2 linked regions of the Oryctolagus cuniculus genome follow. The protein of the gene in region 1 binds, or shares a complex with, the protein of each later gene. Links are inferred from orthologs where the notes say so. Each region holds a gene or a part of one and is shown on either strand. Other genes may lie near its edges.

The links. Proteins that work in one complex are often made in the same cells at the same time.
Region 2: ARID1B (region 1) and SMARCE1 share a complex: the UniProt entries of both Homo sapiens proteins name them as parts of the neuron-specific chromatin remodeling complex. The link is inferred for Oryctolagus cuniculus from reciprocal best matches to the Homo sapiens genes ARID1B and SMARCE1.

What each region holds. Positions count from the first base shown.
Region 1 is NC_091436.1:10,408,862-10,412,421, forward strand, and holds part of ARID1B (AT-rich interactive domain-containing protein 1B), read right to left. Parts: intron 2,226-3,560; coding exon 2,087-2,225; intron 1,874-2,086; coding exon 1,701-1,873; intron 1-1,700. UniProt on the Homo sapiens protein: Involved in transcriptional activation and repression of select genes by chromatin remodeling (alteration of DNA-nucleosome topology).
Region 2 is NC_091448.1:21,886,020-21,890,092, reverse strand, and holds the start of SMARCE1 (SWI/SNF-related matrix-associated actin-dependent regulator of chromatin subfamily E member 1), read right to left. Parts: upstream 2,802-4,073; 5' UTR 2,663-2,801; intron 967-2,662; 5' UTR 922-966; coding exon 915-921; intron 741-914; coding exon 697-740; intron 1-696. UniProt on the Homo sapiens protein: Involved in transcriptional activation and repression of select genes by chromatin remodeling (alteration of DNA-nucleosome topology).

The DNA of each region.
Region 1 (3,560 bases):
AGTCACCTGAAACGTAACACATGAAATACACATGAAATAGTATCAGTCTCAACTGTTAAATGGTACAGGCCCGATACTTATGTTATTGAGATTCTTTATTTTTATTTTTCATTGGCCCTAAATGCTTATAAAAATGAAGGCTCTGGGCTTTCCACTTCTTGGCATTCAGAAAATATATCAAGAAATTCCTGTATCCCAACACCTAAATACGGCACAGGTGCTGTTGTGTAAGGGGACGCAGGGTGGATGCTTGCATAAAAGTATTCACCATTTTTTCTGTATTTTTCTATAATAGTCACATCACAGTTCAATTTCACAGGACCCAGCTGCATCTGGAAGAATGTTGAAAAGCAAAACACCAAGTGTCTGCTTGGAGCTTGGAAGAGTTAAAAGAAAATGGCATAGCAGGTAGGGCTGCTGCTTGCCAGGCCGGCATCCCATGTGGGTGCCAGTTCGGGTCCCAGCTGCTCCACTTCCGATCCAGCTCTCCGCTATGGCCTGGGAAAGCAGCAGAAGATGGCCAAGTCCTTGGGCCCCTGCACCTGTGTGGGAGACCTGAAAGAAACTCCTGGCTCCTGGCTTCGGATCTGCTCAGTTCTGGCCGTTGCGGCCATTTGGGGAGTGAGCCAGTGGATGGAAGACCTCTCTTTCTGTCTCTCTCTCTGCCTCTCCCTCTTTATAGCTCTGACTTTCAAGTAAATAAATTAAAAAAAAAAAAAAAAAAGACAATGGCTTGGACAGCCACCGCCTGGGTATGGACTTGGCCTTGAGGGTCAGGGAAGTCTCCGCTACTTCCTCAGTGGTGGCAGCTGGCTCACAGCTGTAGGCTCCATCCCTATGCTTAGTGTTCTAAAATCATGGCCAACTGGGTCTCTGCTCAGCTCTAGAGCTGCCTGCCACTACCCACCACCCCGCGTGTCTCAGGCTCTCGCGCCCTCCTCATGGTCCACGGCGCAGGTGCTAACCTTCGCCCATCAGCCCCACATTCAGCCATCAGTCCCTCGGATGGCGTCTCTCCCCGCTGCTGGTTTCCAGCCTGAATCCACCGTGTCTCCCCTAGACCAGCAGAGGGGCTCTTTGTGCACCCTCCAGAGCCGAACGGTGGCTTCTCCAGGCATTGGTAGTTTACGAAACAGCTACGCACACACCACCAGCACGCCCACCAAGGTGACAGCCTGGGGCGCCTGGTGGCCCCTGCCACCTCCCCACACAGGCACTCAGCACTCTTGCCCTGGGAGCAGCCCTCCCTTCCTCCCCCTGCCCAGCCCAGAGGGCACTGCCCTCCGCACCCCTTCTTCCCTTTCTCCCAACAACCATGATGTTTAATTACAGAGTTGCGGTTTAACTTAGTTTTTGTTTGCTTCCTCCTTAGAGTCTGTTAATTCCACAAAGCAAGGACTGTGTGGGATCTGCCTATATGCTATGAGGTTCCTTGCACTGCTCATGCTCACGCTAATGTGACAATGCCAGTGCAAGCAACACTGGCGGGGTGGCCCCCGCTCCACGGGCTCTGCATGCACCCCCGTCGTTAACCCGCACAGCACCCTCGGGGGCAGGCCTTACTGCTTGCCCATTTTACAGATGAGGAAAGTAAGGCACGGAGGTCCTAAAATCCTCCCCAAGGGCCAGGTCCTGAAAGGTGGCTGAGCCAGCAGCGGCTTGCCTGTGGGTACAGCGAGGCGAACGCCCTCCGCACATACCTTTTCTCATTCCACCAAAGGGGTCCTTGTTGGGCTCATAGGGCATCCTGCCCATCATGTCTGGCATGCTCACGCCCTGCTGGTACGGCGCGTTCGGCGTCACGGAGTTCCGTTTGGGGAAGGACGAATCACCCACATCTGAGAACGGGTCGTGCACGCTGATTGTACTGCTTCTGAAGAGATGTGAGAATGGCGGTTAATGACACGGCACAGTGTCCACACAGTAAAACAGTCTCGAGATCTACAAACGAGAAACCATCCACACTACAGCATCGTCCATAGACTCTAGGGAGAAGGCATCTCCTCCTTCTAGGACGTTGGTGCCAGAAAATGAAAAGACTAACCAATCCTGATTTTGCGTGGCCCACGGGGTTGTGAGGACGTACCTTCCACCTTGCATCGGGGTCATCTGTCCGTGAGGGGTGGAGGCTGGGGTCGGGGGCTTCAGGTCACCTGGAACCTCCGCCATGGAATTGCTGCCGGTTGACTGGGGGGTCTGCGGGCCTTGCAAGGATCCTGAGTTAGCTGATGGTGGTTGCACCGAGGGAAAATGGGGAAAACACTGGAGGTTACCAAGTAAGCTCCTGTTTGCTAGCGATGGTACAGAGAACCTGAACTGAGACGCCACTCTACTGGAAAGAGTAACAGCACCCAGTGTGTGTGAAGTCAGTGTCCTCACACTGGTTCTGGTGAGAACCGCTCAGACCCCTGGCAGCAAACCATTCGGTAATGCGCTCCATCTGTGAGCCTCAAAACCATTTCAGCCTCAGGCTGGGTAACTGTTTTCCTGTGTATTCATCCCAAGACAATAATCTAACAGAAGGAAGGCTTTGGGCATAAGAATGTTGATTTCAGTGCTGTCTATAATGGAGATAATCTAAAAGTAAATATAGAAAATTGGGATAAAAAATGTCGGTGCTATTTTAGGAAAAAATTAGAAGACAGAGTTCTGGGTCTTGGATAATGAGAAATGTTTAAGCTGAAAAACAATGACGCAGATGGATCACAACGTGCCTCAGGTCATTCTGTCAGCGTCTCAGGATCCAGACGTGTCTACACTTGGTCATTCACAACAGTCGTCTCCTGAGCTACAACATCAGGTTGTTGGAAAAGCCTAAGACATCCCAGGGTACATGGAGAAGCTTGTGGTAAACCAGCATTAAAAATAGGCTTGTTTTGGTACAAAGAATTTTTGAAATCCACACATAGCTTTCTCAAACTATGCATTTCCCACTTTCAAAGACCTATATACTGATTAAAGTCCTCCAATGTCGCCGGAGTTCAGAGATTTGGTTTTCACTACAATTACATCATAATAGAAGAGCTCAGAATTGAGAACGCTTTCTTAGCAAGTAGAAGTCCGGAAAAAATTAATTAACCGCACCTTGTAGGAAAAAGCACTTTACGAGCGCCTGTTTTATGATCTAGCCTAGCTGTTAGCGCGTTAGCTGTTCAGCAGATACCGGCTTCGTTTATTCATTAAACAAACGGCAGGTGCAGGGCTGCCCGTCTGCCACACCGGGTCACACGTTAGTCCTGGTGCTTCCTTGCCTGGGAGTCCCCAAGACTCGCCACAGCTCCCCTGGCTCCCCTCGTACTGTGGGGCAAACGCAGCACAGTCCGTCACCAGAGGTTTCGGAGCAACCCGCGAGGGAGTCGGGAACCAAAGCGAGGACAACACTTCCACCGGGGAAGCCTTGGTCAAACCGATCATCTCTGGCCACGTTAGGGCTGCCTGGTCCCTGGCAGGGCCTGATGGTGCATGGGGCCCTGGGTCGTGCACAGTGACCCAGAGAAACTCGCAGAGATGCAGAACTTAGATCTCTTTAAGGAAAAACTGATTCACTCACGCTTACACAG
Region 2 (4,073 bases), on another chromosome or scaffold:
CCATTTCAGGGAGGCCTAACAGTTGCTGTGGAATCTGTTTCATGGGTTGGGCAACTATTTTACATGCTGACCAAGCTGGGTCAGAGCTTGCTGGGTGAAGAAGCCGGTTCACCGCTATCAGGCAGATACTTTGAAACATTCTCAATTCCCAAGCCAATCAAATCTAATTACAGCGTGGAGTCAAATTTCATAGCAAAATCTGACCCACAGATAATGAAATCCTCACTTGAACAGCTTGAAAATAAAGATTTACAATGAGTGTAGTTATAGAAGTAGGAGCTTTGTTTGATTTAATATGGAAATTTTATATATAGAGACAAGAAAGGAGAGAAAAATGTAACCAGCTGAAGGTTAGGTTTAAAAAAAAAAAAGCCAGAATGAGCACTCACTCAATATCAACTTAAAGACTCTGAGAAAGAAGTGTTAAACTTGTTAACTATTTCCCATTAAGAAAAAAAAAAAATAAAACAAGTAAATTCAGCATAGGAGGTAGGAATTTCATAGTATGTTTCTTTAAATGTTGGGGCTGGTTCAAGATCAGAGGCAAAGAGTTATTTTATTTAGAAGGAAGTCTGTTTTTTAGCTGAATTTTCATCCTGTTACTGTGATGATTGAGTGACTGTCACTGGAAGACATCTGGGTTTTTGTATCAAGGCCAGACTCGGCTATTACATTAACAAGAAAATTAAAACTTACTGTTGCAGGAGCTGGGGTGGGAGGTGGGGCATAAGATGGTCTTTCTGTTTGAAAGAAAATAAATAACTTCTTGTAAACAACTGAGATATAATACTATGCAACAAAACTACCAATGGTCCTGTTTTGAAGAAAAAAATGAGAGTATTTTGGAATTCCCACTTGCTAGGGCATTAGTCTCTTATTAACATAGATTGATAAATATAAAAATTGAAACTTACTTGACATTTTGGAAGATTAAGTTCTCAGTTCCTTAAGAATGAATCTGAGACACTAAAATAAAAAAAAGGAAAAAAAGGAAAAAAAAAGAGAATCAAAACTCAGCAAGCATGAGAATGTTTCCCTAAAGAGGGCAGTTTGATTGGTACTTTTGAGTAAAACTACATTATCTCTCAGTACTCAAGCCTTGCGCGTATTTTACTAGTCCTTGTAGGTCATCTGGGTCATCAGAATTAAATGACTCGAGTAAGTTCCTGGGATATTTAAGTATCAGAAATATACTCTCAGGTTCTGTCCTAAGCTGCCCCACCTCTCGCACGGTGAACACTTGGTAATTGGGAAGGCAGTGGTCACACACTGTGCTGTGCCACCTGTCCACACCAACAAGGCCTGCTGGATGCTGCCAGCGCCCGGTCAGTTCCACCTGGCTTCTGGTCTAGCAACCTCTGTTCGAACAGGGCAGCTCTGTATTCCCGAAGGCAGCGGAAAAGGTAACAGGTATACTAAATGCGTTTCACATTCTTTTAAAGCGGCAGATAGCTTCGGACTCGCTGGAAATACATTGAATTCACTGTTCCCTCATCTGCACTCCCATGCAGAGCTAGGATACTGCTTACTGTAGCTTTTCAAAACATCTGCCAATATGGCTGGACTGGGTGCTGCTCTCGTCACCGTATCCCAGTCTCTAGTGCGATTCCTGATAGACGTTGTCCTAGGGTTCCCTGCTCACAGTAGGGCCAGAGCTTGTCCTTCACATCAACAGTCCCGAGGGGTTTAAAAAAAAAATCCGTGTTTTGGAAAGAAGACAAACTCCTATCCTGGAGCGCCTTCATCCAGCCTCACGGGAGATAAGCAGGAGCTACCTGCAGCACCAGGGTGCAGGTCGGAGCCCAGGGTGCTTTCCCCCTCTGCCTTTAAAGCCCGGCGGGAACCTCTGACTTTGTTGCAAATTTCCTTGCTGCTCAGCCGGCGAGCTGTCAGCATCCAGGAGGCCTTGCGGTGTGGAGCCCTGACGGGACAGCCAGCAGCTCCCTGCACTGGGCGCTTCACGCTAAGATACACTCACAGACACTGCTCGCCCCCGGCGGAACGCAGGCTCTCAGAGCGGGCCAGGGCCCCTGTGCACCCCCTGACGCCCTCCCTGCGGCCTGGCCCTACACAGACGCTCGGCAAGCATTTGTGGAATAAGGCAGGACAGGCTTAGGAGAGCAACCCTGCTGTCCCATTTTACAGATCAGAAAGGGGAGTCTTGCAGACTTCAAAGTAACTCTTCGAAACCACGCCGCTAGGAAGCGGCAGGAGCTGGGGTCCGCACCCAGGCCAAGTCCGCTCACGCCAAGCCGGCCCCGCGGGTCCTCGGGGCCAGGGCCCCGGGCCGGGGGTCCCTTCCGGGGCTGAGGGCCCTGGGCTCGCCTCGCCCCTCAGGGCTGCCTCGGAGGTCGCTTCCTCCACGCCTGCCGCGGGGGATGCACTTTACCAGTAATTCCCCCAAACCGGGGTATGCGTGGGCGCCCTGACCGGGTTCGGGGTGGCCGGAAGGGGCCATCCTGCCCCTGAGGAGGGCCCCCCGTGAGGACTCCCTCCCCACGCGCGCTCCGCTAGGCCTCAAGGAGGCCTCACCGGCTCTCGGCTCCGGCCCCGCAGCCAAGCCTGACCCCCAGCAACCCCCGGGGACCCGGGGTCCCGCCGAACGGAGGCACCGCGACCTGCCACCCTCCAGACCAGGTCGGACCCACTAGGAAACACTCACCCGCGGGCAGAAAAAGCGCCCGCAGCTCCGGCTTCGCTTCCCTTTGTCCCGCGCACGCCCCGCCCCTCACGTCCGGAGCTTCCGCGCTCGCACTTTCCACACTTTTTCTCAATTTCTTCTCAGGCCCCACCGACTGTCTTCGGAAAAAAAATAAACCCGCTCCCGAGGACGCGGCGACGCTTAGTACAGCCAAGGATTTTTTTCCAGGCCCCGTACGTTCCACAAAGCTCCTTGGATTTGGATGCTTTCCCAGTCGGGCGCCGATTCGTCACGGCGAGGAAGGCGGAGGTGGCCCGATCGCGATAGGCCCGGTTCCCGCGGCGGTGAGGGGTCCGAGCGGCGGCGGCGGCGGGAGGTGCCGAGCCCTGCCCGAGGGCGTGGTGGCGAGGCCCGCGGCCTCGGCTTCCGCGCGTGAGGCCGGGAGACGCAGGAGCCGCTGCAGGGGGAGGCCGCGCGCGCCTCGGGCTCCGGCCGCGGCCGCCCCCGCGGGACCCCCGGCGCCGGGTCTCCCGCTTCCCCTCGCGTCGCTGGGCGGCAGGACGAGTGTTCCCCGTGCTTCTCAGAGCGGACGACGCGGGCGCGGAGGACTCGGCCTGGAGGGAAGCAGCACGGGCTTTGGCTGGCCACAGGTTTCCGAGCGAGGGCCCTGGTGTGGCCTTGCAGCGCCGAGGGTGCCTGCTGCTGGGCTCTGCCCCAGATCCGCCTTCGCCGGCTGCGTAGACTCCTGTGCCGTTTGGGATGCAGCTCAGCCGTGCCCTCGGGAGGCCCTCTTGCAGTGCCCCCCCCCCCCCCCCCAACAATCCTTCCCTTGTACCCCCAGGCCTTTCCATCTGGCCCTTAGGAAGGTGTGTCAGCTTTGCAGTGCCGGTCACCGCTGAGGGTCTGGAGCCCAGCTCGATGCCCGTGACATGGGCACCGCGGCAGCCCTCTGGCCTGCTCCAGCCAGGGCCCTTACCCCCCAAGTCGTTGGGGCTCTTTGCTCACCGTCTGGAGTGAGTGGCCCCTTCCTGGGCTGTGAACACCCTTGGGTACTGTCGTAGGCCCCTGGTGGGAGAATGAACAAATGGACACCCCCCGAATGGTACTCACTTGGGCACGGGGTGGGCCTTATTCTTAGCCGCCCTTAGCGCCCCTCTGGGACGAGCCAGCAGGAACAGGGGCCTATGGGGGCGTCCCTGCAGAGCTGGGGACAGCTGATACCGGGGCTTCCCCTGCGAATAGGAGAGAGTGCAATTCAGGAGCCTAATGGGGGAGCGCCTGAAGGGAGAGGGGCTTGAGGGGCGGCTGTGGAATTGCTTTTCCAATATGAAAGCATTAAAGGATGGGAGGAAGACACGGGGGACGGCCTGGGCGGGGGTCCCAGGACCTGTTCTGGTTTGACCTCTGCCTTTGGGGTTCTGGGCGGGGCCTC